2 linked regions of the Drosophila melanogaster genome follow. The protein of the gene in region 2 purifies or fractionates together with the protein of the main gene of each other region. This does not show direct contact. Each region holds a gene or a part of one and is shown on either strand. Other genes may lie near its edges.

Region 1 (10,827 bases), on a different chromosome or scaffold from region 2:
TTCTAAAGATGTTGCTTGAAATAAAAAATTGTGTTAAGCTCCTTAAAATAATAAATTAAAGTTTTACCTTTTGCACAGATTGCTCAATCAAGAGACACCAAAACAAAAAGTTTTTAGTAGTAATCCCTTAAATCAATTCTGAATTGGTTGCATAAAACAAACAACATTTACTAATACTAATTTAAATATAATAATATAATATTCTTTAGACTACGTAAATAGAACAAAATAAAATCTATGCACACAAGAAGTTGCTTAACTGGAAAAGTAATATAAAATGGCCATGATAAATTTCTCTTTGTCGTTTTTTTCTATGAAGCAAAGCGATATTATTGGCTTAATATAACTTATTTTTGCTCCGGCAATCACGAAATGTGAAAATCCTTATCAGCCCAAATCGCAAGCAATTTATTGAGTCCTTTTGAAGCCGCGAAATGCAACGACAAAAGCAAAACGAAAACAAAAAGCAAAAAGAAAAGAGCAAAGAAAATTCCTAACAAGTGTTTTTCTTTGCCAAACCGAAGAGAGCGAGGGAAAGCGTAGCTCAGAGAGAGAGGCTGGGAGAGACAGGAAAAGCTTTCGACTTGGCCACTTGCAAGGCAGCTCAGTTCAGTAATCGGTTCAGTCGACTTTGAGATTGCTGGCCAGAAACGACGGAGAACGACGCTTTCCAGGACGGCCGCGTCGTGTGCTCTAGAAAAGGAGAGTTGGAAAAACGCCAGCGGCAGCTAGCGCCAGAAACGCTGCTGTCACAGTTTCCACCTAAGTCGAAGGAAAACAAGTCAAAAGGCTCGTTCAAGTGGCAGTTGCTTTTTTTGGGCCAAGCCAGCGGTTCGTTTCGCTCGTGAGTGAGACCCAATGCCTGTGTAAATGTGAGCAAGTGTATCCCCGTGTGTGCCTGCGTGTGCGTGTGTGTATCTGTGTGTGCTTCCTTCGTTTTGTGTATCCGTACAGCGTTTCGCTGGCGAGCTGCTCCAAATTTATACCCAGCATATTTTTGCACATTTAATTGAATTAAGTAAAGGGCTGAGCTCGACCGCGGAGAACAGTGTCGCCAGTCCAGTTGTGTTCTTTTCGGCCCGCTCGCTATCTTTATATAAGAGAAAAGAGCTCGAGAAGGCCAACGAATTGCGTAAAGTTTGTGTACCATGTGGTCGTGCCGTGGGAAAATGACATTAAGTGCTTAAGTAAATTATATAAAAACATTAAACGCCTCGCTGGCCATTAAAAACTCGGAGACATTCAAAGCGACAGCTGTGCAGCATGGAAAAACACTTTTCAGGCCTTCCGCTATCTTTTGGCCAAGATAAACGGATATTCGCCAGGCAATTTCCCTTGCCCTGTTTTCGTGGCAATATGAAAAATTCAACCGTCCCAGGTTGTCACAACCGTTTCTGAGCCGTGGGCGAAGTGGGTGGTTGGGCTAGATTTTCGACTACTGTCAAGGTGTGCGCCAACCTCAAGGTCTAGTCACTAACCCAAAGCCCCAAAGACCACATTCACATACGAACATCGCAACAGATCAAGCCAGCGAAATAAAGTCATCTTGGCGGGCGATTCTTTTTCGAACATTTAGGTGCCTAAATAAATATAAATATGGGAATGCAATAAAAACATATCACTCAAATCCATGAAAGATGCCGAATATTTAAATATATTAAATTAACAAACGTGTTGCCCTTAAGTAGGCTATTAAAATTTATTAATTTACATGGTAAAAGGCGAATGAACCGCCTGAATCTACGTAGCACCCTTCGTGACCCTATAGAACTTGGGTTTAGCAATTTGTTTCCGTGTGTCCCAGGTGGCAAGTGGCAGGTGGCGGGTGGCGGGCGTTGTGGTTGCCTTTGCCGTCGAGCAGGTGTCTGTCTGACTGGCTGTGTTTTTGGCGTCACTTTCGTTTTCCTTCTCGCATTGCCCTCGCTCAAGTGCTGTGCTTGACCATAACCACTAAAAGTGTCACATTGCGTATACGCCGCGTGGTGTCCTCGACCGAGGTGTGTGTTTGTACGCTTACTGTTGGCTGTTTTTCGCCGTTTTTGTTGTAAGCTCGTTTACTTTTGGCCAGCACACCACCCACGCAAAGCTGTGGGCCCTCTCAGTGGGACAGTCTCTCTCTCTCTCGCGACTGAGCTGCTTTCTCTATTCTCCGGCGCACTTTCTCTCCCGTTCAGCTGTTTGTTTTGTTTTGAATCGCATTTCTCCTCAAACTGAGGCAGGAATGCGATGTTTATCCCCGTCTATTGTCGGTCATTTGGTCACGTTTTCTGCCCATCTTCATCTTGAGGCCCTCATGTCTGGCAATTTAAATTTTATTGTGATTTTTATTCTTGGCAAAAGTAAACAGCGAGCGCATCTTTCCCCAGCTCGTCTTTATAGAGCAATTTGGCGCCCAAAAGAATGTTCCAACACGGCGATAAAAGCGATGTGTCTGTATTAGCTGGACGACACCTCGGGGAAGAGAAGGGTGATCATAAATGACAAAACTTTCCAGCAATTTAATATTCAATCCTCCTTGTTGTTTTGTTCTCTACACTCGTTGCAAAATTTTCGATATAAACAATGTCCCTTTAGCTCATAAACAAAACTTTTACCTAAAATACGCCATTAAGTGCACAAAGAAAATCAAAATGGTAAACTATTTGCATTCCTTTACACTAAAACTACTCCCTGTCAACTAGTTTTAAAAACTGGTATTTAAACATAAAACGGTGCCAATTCAAATAACACCTAATTTTCAAAAAGCAAGAAGTCAGCCGAAGATTTAACTTCTTTTACTTAATTTCCCACAGATAAGAGAATTTAATGACTTTGCTGATATAAAGTCATGTTTTTGCGAATATTTGTTTTTTTTTAATTTATCCACTTTATCCCTCTGTAAGCGTTCCGTTGTCCTCCTAGACATATTCGAACTCTGTCAGTTAAGGCAACGTCTTGGCATTCGTCCAATAGCAAGGCAGCCCACATCCTTGCTCCCCACCACCCAGCGCCTTCGGCTATTCAGCCCCCTAGACTTCCGTTTCCGTTCTGCTGGGTATTTGCAACATTTTCGGCTGTCTCCTGTCGACTGCCAGACTTTTATACTTTTATAGGGCGGGGGGGTTCTCGGTGAAAGCGATGAAATTTCCATATTCCTCGCATTAGCCAACTAGCGGCGGCTGCGCTGCGCTGAGTGACTGCTCATTAAAATGCTATAAGTGTAGGAACAATTTGCATGTTGCACGAGCTTCGAGCTGCGAGCTGCGCGCCACGAGTCTCGGGCTTGGAGCTGAATAATTAACACCCCAGCAAGACCTGTTGGCAGCTGGCGTTTCTCTTAACTTTATTCGAGGTTCAGGAGCGTACAATCAGTGAGTTGGAGTTCTGTCGGATGAAGTCCATGTAGTTGCGTATGGCCAGAAAGCTGGACATGATGCGGTTGTTCTCCCAGCGCCAGTCGATCATGATGCCCACCAGGTAGTAGTTCTGAGTGACGTGCCCCTTCTTCTGCAACCCCACTAGAGGTGCGCCCAAGTAATAAGCTACCGGTTGCTTGTGGTAGCCACAAACCGTGTTGCTGCTGGTCACCAGCGTCTTGACCTTCGATTGACAGAAGCCGCGACTCAGCGTGTTTACCCAGGTCTTTAGTCTGAAGTCCTCAAAGACGCGAAGACCAGCTACTACAAACGTCTGAGCAACCAGGGTCTCGTTGAGCAGGCTTGGAGGTGGCATGCAAATTGGCATTACATTTGGGTAGATCTTTGCGTCTCGCTGAAGAGTCAGCACCGCCAGGGAGTTCTTTAAGGTTCGCGAGTCGTAGTCCGGATGGATGGCTATCTCGGCCAGCTTGATTTCCTGCGACGGACGCACGCAATAGCCATCCGTTTCGCAGACTCGCACTCCGACCGGAGCACTCTTGTTGTGGACACCCAGGTGGACGGAGAAGGCCTCCGCTACTCCGTTGTACTGGACAAAACAGTGGGCGGGCGCCAAGACAGTGCGCTTCGATACCAGCACGCCCAGACATCCATTGTCCCGAATCTTGCCCTCAAACCCTGAAGTATTAAACGAAGTTGTATTTCGGATTAACTGAGCAGCTCAGAGATTCTTACCCTTGCCATACACTATCCGGGCCACCCACTGGTGCTCCGTGGGAATGGCGAAGGTGCTTTGCATATTGAGCATCTGATCTTCGTCGAATGCACCGCACTGGTCATCATTCACTTTCGCCGACCGAACTTCCGGGCCAAAAAGACCGACGAGCAATAATAAAACTGCGATTCTACCAAGCATTCTGAAGCGCAGCTCAAAGTCAACTGACTGGGAGCTGGAAAAACAGACAATGCATGTTGCTCAGGGGATTTACCCAGAAGCTTATGATCGATAGAGCTTAGCAGGAACACTAGAACGAAAATACAATTGTTTTTACAATTTTTTAAAATATATATGAAATCAATAGTGAAGTGTATTTCGAAACCTTTATATAAAATATTTTAAGATTTTAAATATTACTATTAGTGTTACTAATACTATTTGATCAGCACATTTCCCTTCTCCAAGAATGAGTTGATTTCTTTCCGTGTAATGTTTGTTAAAATTTTCAACTAACTCTTCCAACTACCTGTTATTCTACGTATCTAATTAATGGTGTAAGATTACATTACGGCTACCGATCGAAAACCCGTTTCCGATGCGAATCCCTGGGCAGTTCCCGTCACGATGCATCAGTTATTTCACTGAACCCACAACATTTTACTTCCTCATGTTGAATAGTTTATTGAGTATTCACATAACAAGTTGTACTTTCTACTTCAAATTTTCCATTATCCAGGAGCGGGCGCGTCGGACATTCTGATAGACTTGAGTGGTAGCCTGTCCGGCATCTACGTTCCGGACCAGAATGCCCACCAGGTAGAAGTTGTGCGGCTTCTCATCTCGCACATCGATGTCCATCAGTGGTGCTCCCGGATAGAACTTGGTCCTCTTCACGGGATAGCCGCACAGCTGGTTCACCGGTACTAGGACGCTGGAGGATGTCAATTGTTTGCACTTTTGAGTAGATACTGTCATGGCCAACCCCTTGCCCTTCTCCGAGGCCATATGGTTGAATCCGGTGTAGTGCAGGTTGCGATTGGTCAGCGTTTCCGGTTCCGAAGTGCCCTCCAAGCAGATCGGCTGAACCCAGTTGGTCCACTCGACTGGTTTTTCCAGCCGAAGGATGGCCAAGTCGTTGTCCCCCGTGTCCTTGTCCGTTTGCGGATGGACCTTGATCTCCACCACCTTGTACAGCTCAGGCCCCGGCACACAGAAGTCCTTGTCGTTGCACGACAGCTCCTCCTCCGGGGAGTCAGTCTCGTCCCAAACGCCCAACATTGCCACGGCTTTGGTGTCTCCGGATCGTTGGCTAAAGCGCTTTACGCACGTCGCAGTACTGAGGATGTGCAGCTCGTTAATAATAACTACGGAGCACCTTGTATTCTCGTACCGATTTCCTAGAAAATCATCGAAGGTGGACACAAAGGGCATTAGCAAAAGCATAGGTCATGTTATTAATTATTAACTTGGGGCTTTAGAAGGGGGCTTTTCATAGTTAACACTTCTAAAGTTAACTGACCCTGATCCTCCAGCAGAATGCCCACCCAGGGATTCTCGGAGGGTTCCGCCTGCTCGTTGGTGGTGTACAATAGCTTTTCATCCAGACGACCGCATCGAAATTCTGCCATCGTCAATGCTGAAAACGTATATAGCGTTTTTAATAAATACTCGTAGTAAACATACAACTGTTTCAATTTTACTAACCGCCTAGCCAAGCCAGAGTCAAAAGCTGAACAAGTTTTCCGCTGTGAAGCATTTTTATGACGATGTGCTCAAGTGCTCAGAGTTAACTAATCGAACAGAATTGAATTGAATAGTATGAGATCGCGTAGAGCGCAGTTTCCTTTTGCTGTGAATAATTAATTAACAATCTCCCGCTCTCTCGTTGTTTATTATTAAGATTCTCAGTGTGACTATCAAGCATTTTTGGTAAACCTTAATCTTTTTGAATCTTCCTTAGTCTGACTACTTTCTTTGAAGTCATATTAAAGATATTAAGATATGAAGATATGCCACTTCTTAGCCAACAAAATTTGCTCACAGACCTAACTCACCTTCAACTTACAACTAGTATTGGAGTTCCCCAATCATAAATTAAATTAAAATATTTTATTAACTCAAATAGACGGCATATCGGCTGTATATAGTCCCATATTAGGCATATTAAAATAATTGTGCAAAATGCCAGAGTTGCGGATTTCAAATCATTTTGGTTTTGCTCGACTGCTTGGAAATCGATGGAATATTATTCTTAACCGCTTAAAATTACAGGCAATTATTAGGACCTTCATTATATAGCCATTAGACTCTTGGAATCTCCCCTCGCGCCCTCTTACCCTGGGAGCCTGCTAGGAGCCTCAACTAGGTTGAATAATTAATGTTTCAATTAGAATACGATTATCGAAGGCAAGCGCACAAGCTGCTCGATGGGATGCGAAGGTGAAGGACACCGAAGGACATTGTAACTCATCCGGCCTGGTGGTAGTAGTGGTGGTGGGGGGCTGGACTTAACACTCTACTAAGAACGCTTACAAATTGCCGGCGAGATCCGGTTGGCAGTTTATTGTCCACTCAACTTGACCTGCTTGAGCTGGGGCGTTCATAATTCGCATTGTTATGAGCCCGTCCCTCGCCTTTGTGGCCATCCAATCAATGTGCTCCTGGTCGGGTCTGGACTTTAATGAACGGCCGGCTGGCAGGCTGTTTGGTTGGTTGGTTGGTTGGCTGGTTGTGCGGCGGTGCTCGTAAAACTTGGCTGCCCTAGCCTTGAGTTTGGCCAACGCTATATCCTGGGATGAGGGCAGTGGTAAAAAGTGGGGCCCATGCAAATTGCTCGGACCCTGAACAAGCTGCGTGGGCTTTGGGTGCGCCTTTCACTTGTAAAGAGTCGAGAAATGGCCCCCCATTTGCGTGTTCCTCAATCTTTAATCGCTGGAAGCACGTGAACAGCCTGATTCGAGACTGCTTAGCCTTTGCAGCAGTGCTGGAACATGGCTGGTCGAATCGAACTGAATCATTTATTAGGCCGCGGGCCGAGGACTATTGCTTCCTTTAAAAAGTACATCAAGTCCAGTTTCAACCTTAAGTTTACTCTGCGTTCAAAAGTGAAGGCATACATTTAGGTATGGAAGGTGATATTAAGGCCAAAAATATACATAAAGAATAAGCTTGCTAGATTCTGGTATTTATGATTTATTGATTTTGCAGGACCGGATCACTATGAGCGACAGAGGAGCTCGGTAATGATGATAGCATGACGCGCGACGGCGAAATTCCAGCTATTTTCAATCCGAAAAGAGTGCGCACTCCTTCCGTGGTGGTCACCGGCGACTCCTCGACGAATGGACCGTACAGCAACAATAGCACCGGCGGGGCGGGAGCCAGCAGCAGCACGGCAGTGGCCCCCGGTTCGTCTGCCCAAAACGGCGGCAGTGGCAGCGGAGCAGCGGGCAGCTGCGGGTTCAGCAACGTGCTCACCTCGAGCAATCCGCAAATAACCCACCAAGACTCGATATCGTCGAGCCAACAGGACCCCAATGAGGTGGTCATCATCCCGGCGGACACACCAACGAGCGCACCGGGCAGCCACAATGCGGCGCACCACTTCGGAGGCGGCGACTCCAGCGACACCCAGACGGAGCAGCAGCAAGCCAACGGGCACGGCGAGGAGTCCGAGCTTCGCTTCCGAAAGTTGCAGGCCTGCAAGGAGTCATGCTGCTCCGAACTGGCCCGGAAGGTGGGAAAACTTATGAATCATTCACTCAATTTTAATGCTATGCGATCGATGTCTTTACAGATGTACTTCGGAGTGTGCGTGACCATCCTGATGACCGCGTCGTGGGTGGGGGCCACCCACTGCATTAAGTACATGTACAAGTACCGTGCTCCGTACGACGACTTGCTGAACGACGACCAGGACACGTCCTCGAGCCGCGCGGACCTGAGCACGGAGCTGGAGGATATACTGGCCATCAGCGACTCGTCGCTGCACCACGTCGAGGACGCCACCGAGATGTTCAACATACCACCGCGCCAGCCGGTCTACTTCAGCGCCCCCTTCTTCGCCGCCTGGTTCTTCACCAACTTCTCGCTGCTCTTCTTCCCCATCTACCTGCTGGGTCTGGTCTCCACCCGCAAGTGCGAGAAGCTGAGCGACATCCTTGGCGACGTGCTGCGAGGATTCCGGGAGCGCGGCTTCACAGTGGGTGAGTTGGATTTAGTCGTGCGACACCTATGAAAACTTTCTTTTGACTGGCTCTTGGTCCGCAGGTCGCTTCCTCAATCGCTGCCTCTGCTTCTGCATTTTGTGGCTGGTCACCACCTACCTGTACACCCTGTCCCTGCACGTCCTCTACGCCACGGATGCCCTGGCCCTGTTCGCCACCAACGTGGCATGCGTGTACCTGCTATCCTGGGTGATCCTGCACGAGCAGTTCGTGGGCGTTAGAGTGAGTGCTTTATATCTGCATATTTGAAATTTAAAAGTTATAATTTTAAAGTCGTGTAATTTTAATTAATTACTGCATTATACAAAGATAAAATCCTTCACAAACATCAAAACATGGTTAAAACTGTATATTAATTAATTTAAAAACAAAACAAAAACAACAAAATTTAAACAAAGCTCCAAAACAATATAACATGAATATCTAATAACAATTTGATGAACATAAAAAATCAACGATCTGTAGGTGTAGCAATTCATCTCTTCATTTTATGTGCCTTCGCTTGGAGCTCCTTTTCGTTCTGAACGATCTTGACTATTTCCGAAATTACTACACTGTCCAGCATTTTCATTGGCTTGCCATTCTCCAATACGGCCACCTCCAGGCGCATCTGGCTCATCTGGGTTACTTCGAGAAGGGCACGCATGGCTAGTTTGATGGCATCACATTTGGTTGTCACTTCATGATCGCTATAGGCCTTCTCAAAAAACTCCCTCACAGTATTTGCCCAACGCCCAGTGGCGGTCGCCTTGTACTCGTGGAATATCCCGGATGGTTCGGTATGAAAGAGACGTGCAGAGCCATCGGCGTCAATGCCTCCTATTAGACACGATATACCGAAAGGACGACGTCCATTGCACTGCGTGTACTTCTGCTTGAGCTGGGCAAGGTATCTGGTGATGTACTCGAGGGTCACCTGGTTTTCGAAGTTGAGTCGATGGCTCTGGCACTCGACCTGCCCTCGATTTATAAGGATCCGTGCATCGGCCGTGAGACCGGCAAATGCCAACGCCACGTGGCGATCGAGCATGCTGATCTTGCGCACCGTCCGATCCTCCTGCATCTCGGACACCGAGCTCTTCTCCACACCCAGCACCACACAATTGGCTCCACGAACGCCGACCGCTGTGGAGCCCTTTCGAACAGCTTCCTGGGCGTACTCCACCTGCAACAGGTGGCCATCCGGCGAGAATATGGTTAGAGCTCGACCGTAGCGTGAGGACATCCTTTGGGTTAGTTAGCAGGCAAAACAAAACAACAATTTGCTTGTGACAAGTTATTTACTTGAAACAATATGAATTTTTCTTACATTTGAAGTTTGAAGTCAAAATCCTTTATTTTCTACACCATAGTGTAATGATTATGATAATAATATGTTATTACAATTCTTTGTAAATCAATAATTTCTTTTGAGTTATTTACAAAACTCCCCATATCACTCCCCTATTTTGCAGATCGTGGCCATTATACTTTGCGACACAGGAATAGCGTTGCTAGCCTATATGGATGGAATTACGGAAAGCCGAACCCTGAGCGGCGTGGTCTTGGCCACATTGGCTGGAGCTGGCTATGCCGTGTTTAGGGTGAGTAATCCGCCGTTCGCCCACATGGGATGTCCTGCTTTCCCGCTTCGTGTGCGGCCATGTCGTGCTCATGTTGGCCTGTCGCTTCACAGGTTATGTTCCGCAAGGTGATGGGCGATCCGCCGGTGAGCCAAATCGCCTTCATATTCACCGCCCTCGGCTTCCTCAACGCCCTGCTGCTGTGGCCCGTAGTGCTGGGACTCTACCTGACTGGCACGGAAAGCCTCACCTCGGAGAGCATACCCTGGAACCTGCTGTTCGCGGCGAGCCTCCTGCTCCTCGGTAGGACTCCTTTTCCACCCCCCGCTTCTTCTGCATTTGTTGTGCCGTAAACTTTTATCGCCGTAATTAATTTTGATTGCAGTTTTCCACGTTCTGATGCAGTTCAGTGCCGCCGTTACGTACAACATGTTTGTGACATTGGGTCTGATTACGGCTGTGCCCGTTTCTGGCGGTATGTACACGGACGAGCTCCTCAGCATGTTTTCCAAGAGTTGGGTGGATACAGGGTGGTCGAGGTCTGGGGTTAGCCTCTATTCGCTTGAAGGATTCCGTGACTATGAGTTGTTTTAAATTGTAATATTCAAACGGGGCACTCACATGGGTCACGTAACAACATTTGATCTTTGTAGTGGGCACATTGAGACATAAACTTTTACAAAACAATGGGCGAACTTTCTTGGCCAAGTAGTTACTGGTTTAACATAAAACAAATATACCTCTTTCAATACCTCTGAGAACAAAGTTGAAATAGGACCTCAAGATTTAAATATCTGATTGAAAAACACATACATATTTGAGTATCCAATTTAATTGAGCTATTTTTCTCATTTCACTTGATCCCTTAGCCCTCGATGTCATACTATACAGTGCGAACTTTGCTGGCATGAAACTGGCCGGAGTTATCCTGATTGGCATCGGATTTTTCCTCGTCATGTTTCCCG
Region 2 (11,093 bases):
TGTAACAGTCTGGTAAATAGGGCCCTTGTGTTGCGGCTTCTCTTCGACTTGGGAACGTGACCGCCTATATACTGCCATAAACCATATACCATTATGTGTATCTTGTTGTTGGTTGGTCAGCGGCAAAAGTTAAACCCACGCATGTTGTTGTTTTGCGCCTTTTTCGCTGCCGACGTCGCTGCAGCAGCTGTCGTTCGGATGGCTGTGAGTGAGAGCGAGAGATTCATTCATGCAGTTCAGGTACAGTTTACAGTGCTGCGGATTCAGATGCTCTCTCTCTGGCGCTCTCGCCCGCTCTCTATCTTACAGGGCACGCTTCGTTTCGTATCTCACGGATGCGGATACATATGTCGCTGCCGGCGTCGCTGCTTATTGTTTTTTTTTCCTTCCCCCTTATGTAGTAAATATGTCGCCTTGTACATACGGAGCACAGATGTAATGTAGCGCGGTTGCACTTGTAATCCACTCTCTCACGTACTCTCTCTCCCGCTGTCTCTTTTTGCCGCAGCGAATTACATTGGCGCGCGCATTTTTCAAATGTTTTTTTACGGCGAAAATAACGATTTTCGTCGCTGCTTGTTTTGTGTGCTGAAAATATACATTTTATGACTATGTACACACGCACAGGAAGTTGAGAGGGGTATTGGATGCCCTTGATCAAGGAGATGTGTGGGTTTGAGTTGGGCGCGTAGGACCATTTCGCTCCGTAATTCTCCCTAATATCCTTTAGTTTGTTTCTCAGATTAATATCAAAAATGCATAATTAATAGTGACGGGCCCCTTATTTCTGTTCAATAAACTTGCTTGTAATACAGTAAATCATCAGCGGAACAAAAACCAAAGGAACTCTACTAACTTCTCTTTTTTCGCTTCCAGGCCAAATCCGCAGAATCAAAGAAGGCCAAGAAGGCCGCGGCCGCCGATGGAGATTCCGATGAGGAAGAGGCTCTGGAGGAAATCATCGAGGGCGACAGTGAAATCGAGAGCGACGAGTACGACATCCCCTACGATGGTGAGGAGGATGACATTGAATGTGATGGTGAGTTCACGGAAGCACTTCCCTTTTCCACATCAATCTAATCCCCGGATTTTCCCTTTCCCTTACCCGCGCAGATGATGATGATGATAATGATGACGGTTCCGGCTCGGACGATCAGGCGTAATAATAATGTAGTCAAAAATACAAACAAAAACAAACAAAAATTTAAATTAATAATAAATAAAAGTTACAAGCAAAAACAAAACAAAAAAAATATAATAATAAACCAACAAGCAGAAAATAAACCACAACAAGGAGAAAATGAGGAGGAGGAGGAGAAAAAAACCACAAAAAAATCGCAAAAGTATATAATTTTTATGTTTAAGAAATAATTTTTTATTTCTTACCTTATTTTAATTGTATTTTATGTGTACTTTTTTTATAAAAAACTACAAAACAAACAAAAATTGTAATTGAAGGCATTTTCGTATAAACGCAACCTATACGGAATCCAACAAAAAGTAAACATCCCCACTATATACAAGAACAAAACAAAACCAAAATCTTTCTTTCCTTTATCTCATAAGTCCTAATTTAAACGCCCAGTTGATGCGTAAACCAAGATATACAAAGATTTCAAATGTAGCGTAAACGAAGCCCGCGAATTAAACACAGATACACTACACTCACACACACACACGATATTCAAATTCATTATTAAATTAGACGTTACATTTGTGAATGAATGATCGATCGAAAGAAGCAAAAATACAAAAGTGAACATTTGAAAATGAACATGATTATGAACATGAAAAAGAAACAGCAAATGCAATTAAATACAAAACAAATAAAACATAAAAATTGTATTTAAATAAATCGCAAAAATCATTGAAACCCCATACTCGACAAGCATTCAATGACACTCAAGTTTTAGCTATGGTTTCAAAAATTTCGCGCCCATTGTGGCCACAGTCACCCGAATTTCCCAAACCCAAGGCACTGGGACTTAGTTGGTCTTCGCTTTTGGGGCAAATACAAAAAAAAAAAACAAAAAAAAATGAAAGGAAAACATCGGGAAGTTTGAGTTCTAACCTTCTGTTTCGTTTCAGCATTTAACTATAAACTATGACTAATCTTAAGTACTTATGTCAGTATTAAAGCGAGGGCTTTATTATTCTGTTGATAAGTTGTGCGAGCGAGTCGTTGATAAGCCTAATTCATTTGTAAATTGTAAAAACCAACTCGAGAATCGAAAAACGAGCAAGAAAATAAACTTTTAATGTTACATGTATCTAATTAGTAAGGGCATCCAAACTATTTATACACACACCCCGTACGACGAGTTCTCAATATAAACATATAACGACTGATATTTCAAAACGAATCGTGCCCAGCTGGTCAATCACGGCACTCGACACCGAAACCACCCAACCACCACCATCCTCGAATCTAAACGATTTGTCCCGGAAAGACAGACCAGCCCAACATACACACACAATCCACCCACTGACCCAGATCCAAACTCCAAGAGGCTTAAAGCTGGTAATGCCAACCAGCAACTGAATAATTGAGTGCAATTAAACCAATATGCCCAAGATAAATCATCCGATTTGATAACTGATAAACAATAGCGATATCACAGACAATGTTAAAGAACTATGCATTTTTGTAAATACCAATTACTCATGTATCTGCTCCGTGCGAGAATAACATCTAGTAGCGCGAAAGGGCAAAAAGAGAAAAGAACCACGAATCGAAAACGAGAATAAGAAACAATTTTGAACGATGAAATAAATTATTGTAATTACGTAAAAGCGAAAACCGTACGTACATACCACCCATTTGGCATCTGTTCCGATGCCAATAAAAGTTTGTTTCAATTGCAGTTGGCCATTTTGGGTGGGGCAATCACCTCGCTTCGGTGTTCCCAGGGGTAGTAGTTCTTAGCCAGGAGCATGTACGTATGTAGGTACATAATTCATAGATTGGCCGCCCCTACATTACTCCGATCCATCCCTTCCATATCCCAGTTTTCGTTCGGGGGTTGACGAGCTGGTTCCCACAATCCTCCCTATGAAAGAAATCATATACTAAGGGATGATGGAAAAATTCAATCGGAAATTTCCTTTGATTAAGTACCTTTTTCGGATTGAAAATCGATTAGCCTTAGCAGATGCCTATTAAAAAAACGAATGATGAAATTCCGGGCTCTTCGTTGGGCAAATGAAGTTGAGCTACTTTTATATTCAAATTCAAATATAAGCGCAAAAATTTCTAAAAGTTTAAGAGCTTTTAAGTTTCATAAGCCATTTCTTTCATTTATTTCAACTTTTATTAAAATTATTCTCCATATTATTTAGTATCAAATTTAAGAATAAACGCCTAAAAAAGTTTATCTTTTAATTAAAATACAACTTTAATTTGATGCTATTGCACGAGTCATGATGATGCCAAGTACCTGGTGACCTTCAGTATGCACAAATGCTCGCCAGGAATGCGTCGCTCCATGAACTTAACAGCCCGGAACTGGAGGCCCTCTAAGTATTTGATAATCTCCTCCGGCTTGTTCTCCCGCAGCAGGAGTAGGTAGAGCACGCCTCGAGGCGAAAGAATGTCATCCAATTGCTTGAGTAGAATGTCCGTGACGCGTCGCCCGTCCTGTCCACCAGCCCAGGAGAAAACCAGATTGCGATCCGTTGAGGATTCGCTGTGCGAATCGAACTGTTGCGTCTGCAGCTCCTCGTCACTGGTGACTACATAGGGCGGATTGAAGAGCAGCACGTCCACGGATCGCGGACGCAGTGCATCCGCTAGGCTGCAGCGAATGCTATCCAAGCGAGCGCCATTCCGAGTCGCAGTTCTTCGAGTGGCATTGCAGGCTTTGGGATTGATATCCGTAGCTAGGCACAGCGAAAAGCCAGCCAGTTTCTTGGCCAGCGCCGTGATGATCACACCCGAACCGGAGCCCAGTTCGACGCAGAGACTCGGCTGTAGCCGGTCCAGGTACTCCAGATCCTTTTCCAGGGCATCCAGCAGCAGGAACGAGTCCTCCGCTGGCTCGTAAACGTGCTCGAAATCTTCTGGGCTCAAGTGGTCGGTGTAGGGCGTCTCCATGACGAACAGTAATTGGATTTAGGATATGTTGGTGCTGAGCGCGGAATCGAGAAGCGCCTGTCGCCGCCGCTGCTCCTTCTCTATCAGCTTGTGCAGACCCGTCAGCCGCTCCTGGCTGGTCACCAACACGTTGCTTATGACCGTCACCTTGTGCTTGACGTTCAGCAGCTCCTTCACCTTGTCCGCGAACTCGGGTATCTGACTCTGCGCCTTTTCGATGTCCCTCAGCTGGGCGGCCAGTGCATCCAGTTGGCCACGCAGCTCAGCCTGCAGCTGGATGGTGGAGGCCACGCGCTCGTCCAACCGCTCGATCGTCGGCTTGAAGAGATTGGTGATGCCCTCGGCGAGGATGTCGCGCGTGGGATTCGTGCAAAAGTTCTCCGTGTTCTCCTCCAAGGAAGTCACGGTGCTGTCCGAATCCATTGCAGAATTCTGATCAGAAAACTGATTAGAGATGTTGTTGCGAGCAACCAATGGTATCGATGTATCGACTACATAGGGGTGGCAAGTATTAAGATATAAAAACCGAGTAGCTTTATTGCTCAAAAAACGAATTCACATAAGCTAAAAAATATTTGACTGTAAAAATATTTTAATTATTTTTAATGGTCCTTAATGTTTGACGCACTTGACAACCCTGAATAATTTCAAAAAGTCCTGCAGACTATCGGACATTCACCTTTCAAAGTTATCGCATGCCACCTCCTTGCGTTATCGATACACGGGATGTACGCAATCAGCCATCGCTAATAAAGTATAATAATAAGTAATTAAGAAATTTTATGCGCTGATTAAAGCTGCCGATGAAATGGATACGTACTCGGTGGACGTGGTGTACCAAGCAATCAGCGCCCTCTTCCAAGGCAACAATCCCAAGGAGCAGGAGAAGGCCAACAAATGGCTCCAGGACTTCCAGAAGTCGGTGAGTGATAATCGCCCGGTGTACGAAACCTTCGTGCGATTGCTAAGTTTTTTTTTGGACTTCCTTAAAGATCTATTCTTGGACGATTGCGGACGAGCTGCTTCACCAGAAACGAGACCTGCACGCCAACTACTTTGCTGCGCAGACCATGCGGAACAAGATACAGAACTCCTTCAGCGAACTGCCACCGCACACGCACGAATCTCTGCGGGATTCACTGATCACACACATAGGCCAGATCGACGAGCAGACGGACAATGTGATTGTGACGCAGCTCAGTCTGGCGGTTGCCGATCTGGCCCTGCTGATGGCCAGCTGGCGGGAGCCGATCAACGATCTTCTGGTGACACTGGCGCCACATCAGTGCGCCATCTGGCCCCTGCTGGAGGTGCTCAAGGTGCTTCCCGAGGAAATAGACTCACGGTATCTGCGGCTGGGCGCCAATCGGCGCGAGGAGGTGCACAAGCAGCTGGACGCCAGCGCAGAGTGTGTCCTAAAGTTCCTGTGTATGTGCCTACAGCGGGAGGATCTCGACCAGCAGCGCGTGTGGAATGCGGCGTTGCGCACCTACAGTGCCTGGCTGGTGATCCATGCCTTTCCCGTCTCGCACGTGTACAACAACGCCCTCACACAGCTGGCCTTCCGGTTGCTCTCGCTGCCGGAGACCAGTGGAAAACTGCACGACAATGCCACCGAATGCGTGTGTGCGCTGCTCTCCTGCATAAACACACGACAGGATGGCGCCAGCGATCCGGAGTCCTCTTTCGAGGCACAACTCTTTGGAGCTGTCTGCATGCTGGAGACTCCCTATCACTTGAGTGTGGCGCACGAGGACACCGACAAGACGATCAACTACTGCCGAATTTTCACCTCGTTGTGCGATGCCTTCTTCTACGATTTATTGGCCGATGCCCAGAAGCCACACTACAGTTTGAAAGGACTGGATCTTGTGCTGCTTTGCGTCGGACACTTCGACTACGAGGTGGCCGAGATCACCTTCCACCTGTGGTACAAACTCTCCGAGGATCTATTCCAGCGCAACGAGGATAAGCTGACGGTTCTATTCCGGCCGCACATCGAGCGGCTGATCAGCGCCCTGTTTCGCCACTCGCAAATGGAGAGCGACCACGACGGGCTCATCGAGGAGAACAACAATTTCTTTGTGAGTGTGTGATATTGAGAAATTTTAGCAGTTTTCTTTGAAGTTGGGTATTTTAATTGAATAGGCATTTATGGCTAGAGTCGGTTTATTTAGAAATGAGTACAAGAAGTTTGATTAGTTTTCTACATTATCAACGTTAAATTAATATAATGCCTTGAAGTTAATTGTACTAATCTTAAAACAAATGAATTGCAGGACTTTCGACGCAAGGTCTCAGATCTAATAAAAGACGTGGCCTTCATAGTGGGATCTGGAGCGTGCTTCAAGCAAATGTTTCATATCCTGCAAGCTCCAGAAACTACGTGGGAGTCCACAGAGGCAGCACTGTTCATTATGCAGAACGTGGCCAAAAATATACTTCCGTACGTATGCAGCTGTTTATTACCATGTCAGATTTACAATACTTACCTTGCAGAGATGAGAACGAAGTGATCCCCAAGGTGGTGGAGGCGATTCTCAATATGTCGGAGCAAACGCACATAGCAGTTAGGTACACTGCGATTCTACTGATCGGCGAACTGTGCGACTGGATTGAGAACCATCCTGAATCGCTGGAGGCAGTCCTAAACTTTTTGCTGTACGCCCTGCAGCAGAAAAATGGCTTGGCGCCAGCTGCGGCCATTGCATTGACTTCCATTTGCTCCGCCTGCCGACAGAAGATGGTGTGCCATATAAGCGGTCTTGTGGAGATCGCCCGCAGTCTGGACAGCTTTCAAATAAACAACGATGTGGCAATAGGATTGCTAAAGGGCATATCGCTTATACTGACACGCCTGCCACGCGAGCAACTGCAGCCTGCTCTGCGGGAAATCGTCGGCTTCCAGCTGCAACCACTGGCACAATTGGTGGACAGCACTGGCAGTACTCCTCAAAAGGGAGAGCGCACCGATCCCGTTTACTGGATAGACCGCGCCTGCGCCATTATCCGACACACGAATCCAGACGTTCCCGACAACGTGGAGCACCCCACGGTAGCTATTCTGAACGACGCCTGGCAGCTGATATCGCGGGTGATGGATAAGTACCAGAGTGATCTGCGTATCATGGAGCGCACCTGCCGACTGATTCGCTACGGCATTCGGATGGTGAGAAAGCAAGCAATGATGCTGGTGGAACCGCTGATCAAACAAATGGTCGTGCTGTATTCTGTGCAGCACCACAGTTGCTTCCTCTACGTGGGTTCCATACTGGTGGACGAGTTCGCAAAGTCCAGCGAGTGCATTGGCGGACTTTTGGAGATGCTTCAGGCATTTATAGAGCCCACATTTGGCCTGCTTCAGATGGAGAACGGTCTAAAAAATAACCCCGACACAGTGGATGACTTCTTCCGTTTGGCATCGCGTTACCTGGACTGTTGTCCCCACCAGCTGCTCCAGAGCAGTCTCATCACGCCGATCTTCCAGTGTGCGCTAATAGCCTGCTCCTTGGACCACCGCGAGGCCAACTCGTCTGTGATGAAGTTCTTTATCAACCTGTTGGTTTGGGGCAGATCGAATAACCATAGCCGGAACACCGAGTGCCGTCCCTTGGTGGTGGAGCTGGCCAGTCAGCATGGCGGTGCTCTGGTGATGAACCTGATCCAGGCATCCGTCTTTCAGCTGCACTCCTACATGCTGGTGGATGTGGCCGAGGTGCTCCACGAACTGAAGCAGGTGGTGGGCAACGAGCGGATGCAGCCCTTCCTGGCCCAGGCGCTGGAGGCACTGCCCAAAAAGAACAGCGGTGGCTACGTGACAGCCACGCAGCAACAGCTGGACGAATTTAGCAGCACAGTTCTGAGGTGAGGATTTGCCATCAGACGTTTTGTATTTTATTCATAATATATTATATTTCCTTTTGTAGAGCGGACACAACGAAAGCCATTTCGCAAGCCTTGAAAACCTTCACGCGACTCTTTCGCTAATCAGGGAGATGCATGAGTTTGGATTCGGATGATTCTGTACATTTTGAATGATGTATGTAATGTGGCAAGGGTGCTAGGAATTTTGTTAAAAACGCACGTACCCCTCTATTTATAATATAGTTGAATCGATTGTTTGACGTAATAAGTTATATATAATTTGAATTGTACATTTTGAGTGCGGTCAAGAGATCCTCACAGAATTTAGCAGTAAGTTATTTACATCAGCGTGCACTCCTAGCTCTAAGTTTAAAACCTAAAATGACTCACAAACAAGCATAGGCATAAGGCAAACCATTAAATATATACCATTTAGATATAATTGACCACATTTGTTCTGCAAAACACTTGAGTATAATATTTATTTATTGAAAAAGCAATCACAAGACATTGGGCTGGAAGAAAAAAAAAACAAAAAAGTCTGGGAGCTGCGTTGTTCGTTTGACTTGTCTGATATTTCCGCAGGCTGATATGGAATTCTGGGCATGGATTTTGAGACACTGCGTCATGGACATTCGATGATGGATTTGTGAATTATGTACGTTGCACGGCTTAATCACAACTCCCACTGGGTACAAACTACAAACTAGACGATTGAAGAGATATCAAACAATACGTAACATGAAACATAAATATGCTTAGACTAACCTTTAAGTTACCAAAGCAGTACGTTACGAACAGAACCTTTTTGTTTCGAATTACATTTAGTCGCAATATTAATGTAAGCTATTAATAAGAACCAATTTTAGTTAAATTATTTGAAAATCTTTGATTTAGTTATAAAAATCTAACATTTTAATTTGAAAATCAGAGTTTTAAAATAACGAATTAAACATTTAGACGAAGAGACGTACATACTTTTTTTTTTTAATTGTTGTCTTAAATTGGTTATGCTTTGTGACACATTGTTCGCACGAACGGACTACTTTGGAGGACAAAGGGGGTACATATGGGCTCTACCTCAAAGGTTGATAAATACTTCTTTCACCTTAAAACTAATTGCACACATTATCTAATTGCACTTTTCGCCGGACAGCTAAAGACTACAGAACAAAATATTAAACTAATGGATGAAAATTGTAGCGGAGATTCACGATTCAAATTGTTTCAGTGCGAGGATCGATCTTGTGTATAGCCTGCATGAGGCTCTCGGTGTTCGCCGTGTTGATGCCCTGCTTGGACATGTCAGTCAGTCGGTCGGTGATTGGCTTTTGGTCCTGGCCGCGCTGCCACCTGAAAGGATGAGATATTCAGATTAGCCTTTTTCTTAATGCGGAAAGATTCGATTGGACTCACCACAGATGGGCGCAGGTGTGAAGCAGGGGAATGTAGAGCGGCAGCAGATCAATATCGCACAACGTCTCGAAGCGACTCAGTGCCAGCAGGGCCCACCTCTCGGCCGCGTGATGAGGCACTGGGGATGAGGTGCAGGCAGCCACTAGACGGCAGAGTATCAAAAGCACCGGCCTCGATCGATTCATGTATATCTTGTTCAGCAAGCGGAAACAGTTCTCCAGAATAGGTATGGCCATTTCGTTACGCCGCTCATCCAGAAACTGGCACGCCCTGGTCAGTTCGTCGTGCTGCAGGAAGCGCAGGAAGTACTCCGAGTCCCGGAGCATCGCCTGGCTTGCCACATACGTGAGGAATGCCTCGAAGGCTGCACTCCGTTCGCCGATCAGCTCGGACTTGAAGTTACCCATCAGGACCTTGGCTGGGAAGTACTTGTTGGCCATCTCCGCCGGATGCTGCCGCTTAAGGCCCAGATAAAGCTCCCGAAAGTCGGTGTATCGGCGCTCAATCTTTGCCGGCTGAGTGTCCTCCGTGGCTCCATCCTGCTTAACAGTGAGCTCATAGACCACGAACCGCTTGATCTTCACATCCTCGCCATCGGGCGGCATTATGTGGGCCAGCAAGATGTCAAAGCGGAGCACGGTGCTCCCATCCGTGGTCGGCTTATACTCAGCACTTGTGGCTCGCTCCCAGACACCTAAGAAGATACAGACAATATTCGCCTTAGAGATTATCCACTGTACCTACATATTTTGCGAGTGTGAGATAATGGTTACACAAACCTTTTTGGAGCGCCTTATCGGATTCGGGAGGGGGAATGTCGAGGGCCGCCGCCTCGATGGCTGGACTGTCCAGCTCATCCGGACCGGGTGGATCCCCATCGAAGGTAGGCTGGTGGTGCAGGCGCTTGGCCATCACGGCGTGAACTGGGGTAAAAGAAAAAACGAAACCAAATGAACGACGAACTGCTAATTGGAGGTTTCACTGTGCTCACTGGGCATACGGGTTCTATGAATCTCTTTGTGATTTCTCGCTGGGCTGCTGTTTTCGATCCGCAGCTGGGCACTTGCAATTCGCTTCTGGTTTACGGCGGATTATGCGGTTGGCATAGTTGTTGAGTCAATTTACAGTGACTAATTCCGCCCCAAACAAAAACATTGCAAGTGGGACGGAGGCCTTTGTTTTGTGCGTGTGAATCCCGCATAGGCGGCCTCTGTAACACCCTACGCGGGTATGGCTCTTAGGGAACATTTAGAATAACTATATTCTAAATTTTTGAATAATATTAAATATTTCTATAAATTGTATAATGATTTAGTAGGCTACAATTTTTATGAGCTCTAATACATATCGTGTACTTTAGCAACAAGTTATTTTTGAATTAACAGACTTTATATAGTAGGGTATGAAGACATTAGTGCTCTGCAGTCTGGCAGCTTTCAAAAATGTATCTTCAAAAGCGGTCCTAATATACCCTTTCTGTAGTTCAGTAGATATTACTTTTAAAGGCTGGATTTGGTTTTTATATACAAATTAAAGCAAAGGATAGGTAATTAGGCAATTAAGTTAAGATTAAAAGATTCCCATTTGTTTGGATAATTCTCGCAGTTTAAATAATTTGTATACTTTTGCGTGACGCACAAGCTAATGTACTCATCTGTGTAGGGTATGTACACTACTAAAACGTACAGTGTGGCAGCCCGAATGGCACTGCAAAAGTCTG

What was found.
Region 1: the proteins of HemK2 (region 2) and CG31199 purify together in Drosophila melanogaster (affinity purification with mass spectrometry, with the first as the bait; one large-scale study listed by BioGRID). This does not show direct contact.

The regions. Positions count from the first base shown.
Region 1 is NT_033777.3:20,739,494-20,750,320, forward strand, and holds CG31199 (uncharacterized protein), read right to left. Parts: upstream 4,377-10,827; 5' UTR 4,273-4,376; coding exon 4,092-4,272; intron 4,035-4,091; coding exon 3,334-4,034; 3' UTR 3,307-3,333; downstream 1-3,306. Other genes in the region: CG31200 (uncharacterized protein), read right to left, coding at 4,786-5,471, 5,594-5,710, 5,779-5,830; CG42322 (uncharacterized protein), read left to right, coding at 7,328-7,810, 7,871-8,279, 8,344-8,522, 9,755-9,883, 9,976-10,165, 10,248-10,337, 10,732-10,827; Prosalpha4T1 (proteasome alpha4 subunit, Testis-specific 1), read right to left, coding at 8,776-9,525.
Region 2 is NT_033779.5:2,755,132-2,766,224, forward strand, and holds HemK2 (HemK methyltransferase 2), read right to left. Parts: upstream 4,547-11,093; 5' UTR 4,517-4,546; coding exon of another isoform or gene 4,112-4,516; 5' UTR 4,094-4,111; coding exon 3,419-4,093; 3' UTR 3,296-3,418; downstream 1-3,295. Other genes in the region: Bacc (bacchus), read left to right, coding at 877-1,039, 1,114-1,163; Snapin (SNAP associated protein), read right to left, coding at 4,112-4,516; Tnpo-SR (Transportin-Serine/Arginine rich), read left to right, coding at 4,902-5,015, 5,086-6,177, 6,373-6,539, 6,593-7,957, 8,020-8,080; Snx21 (sorting nexin 21), read right to left, coding at 9,175-9,310, 9,374-10,067, 10,153-10,296, 10,365-10,371.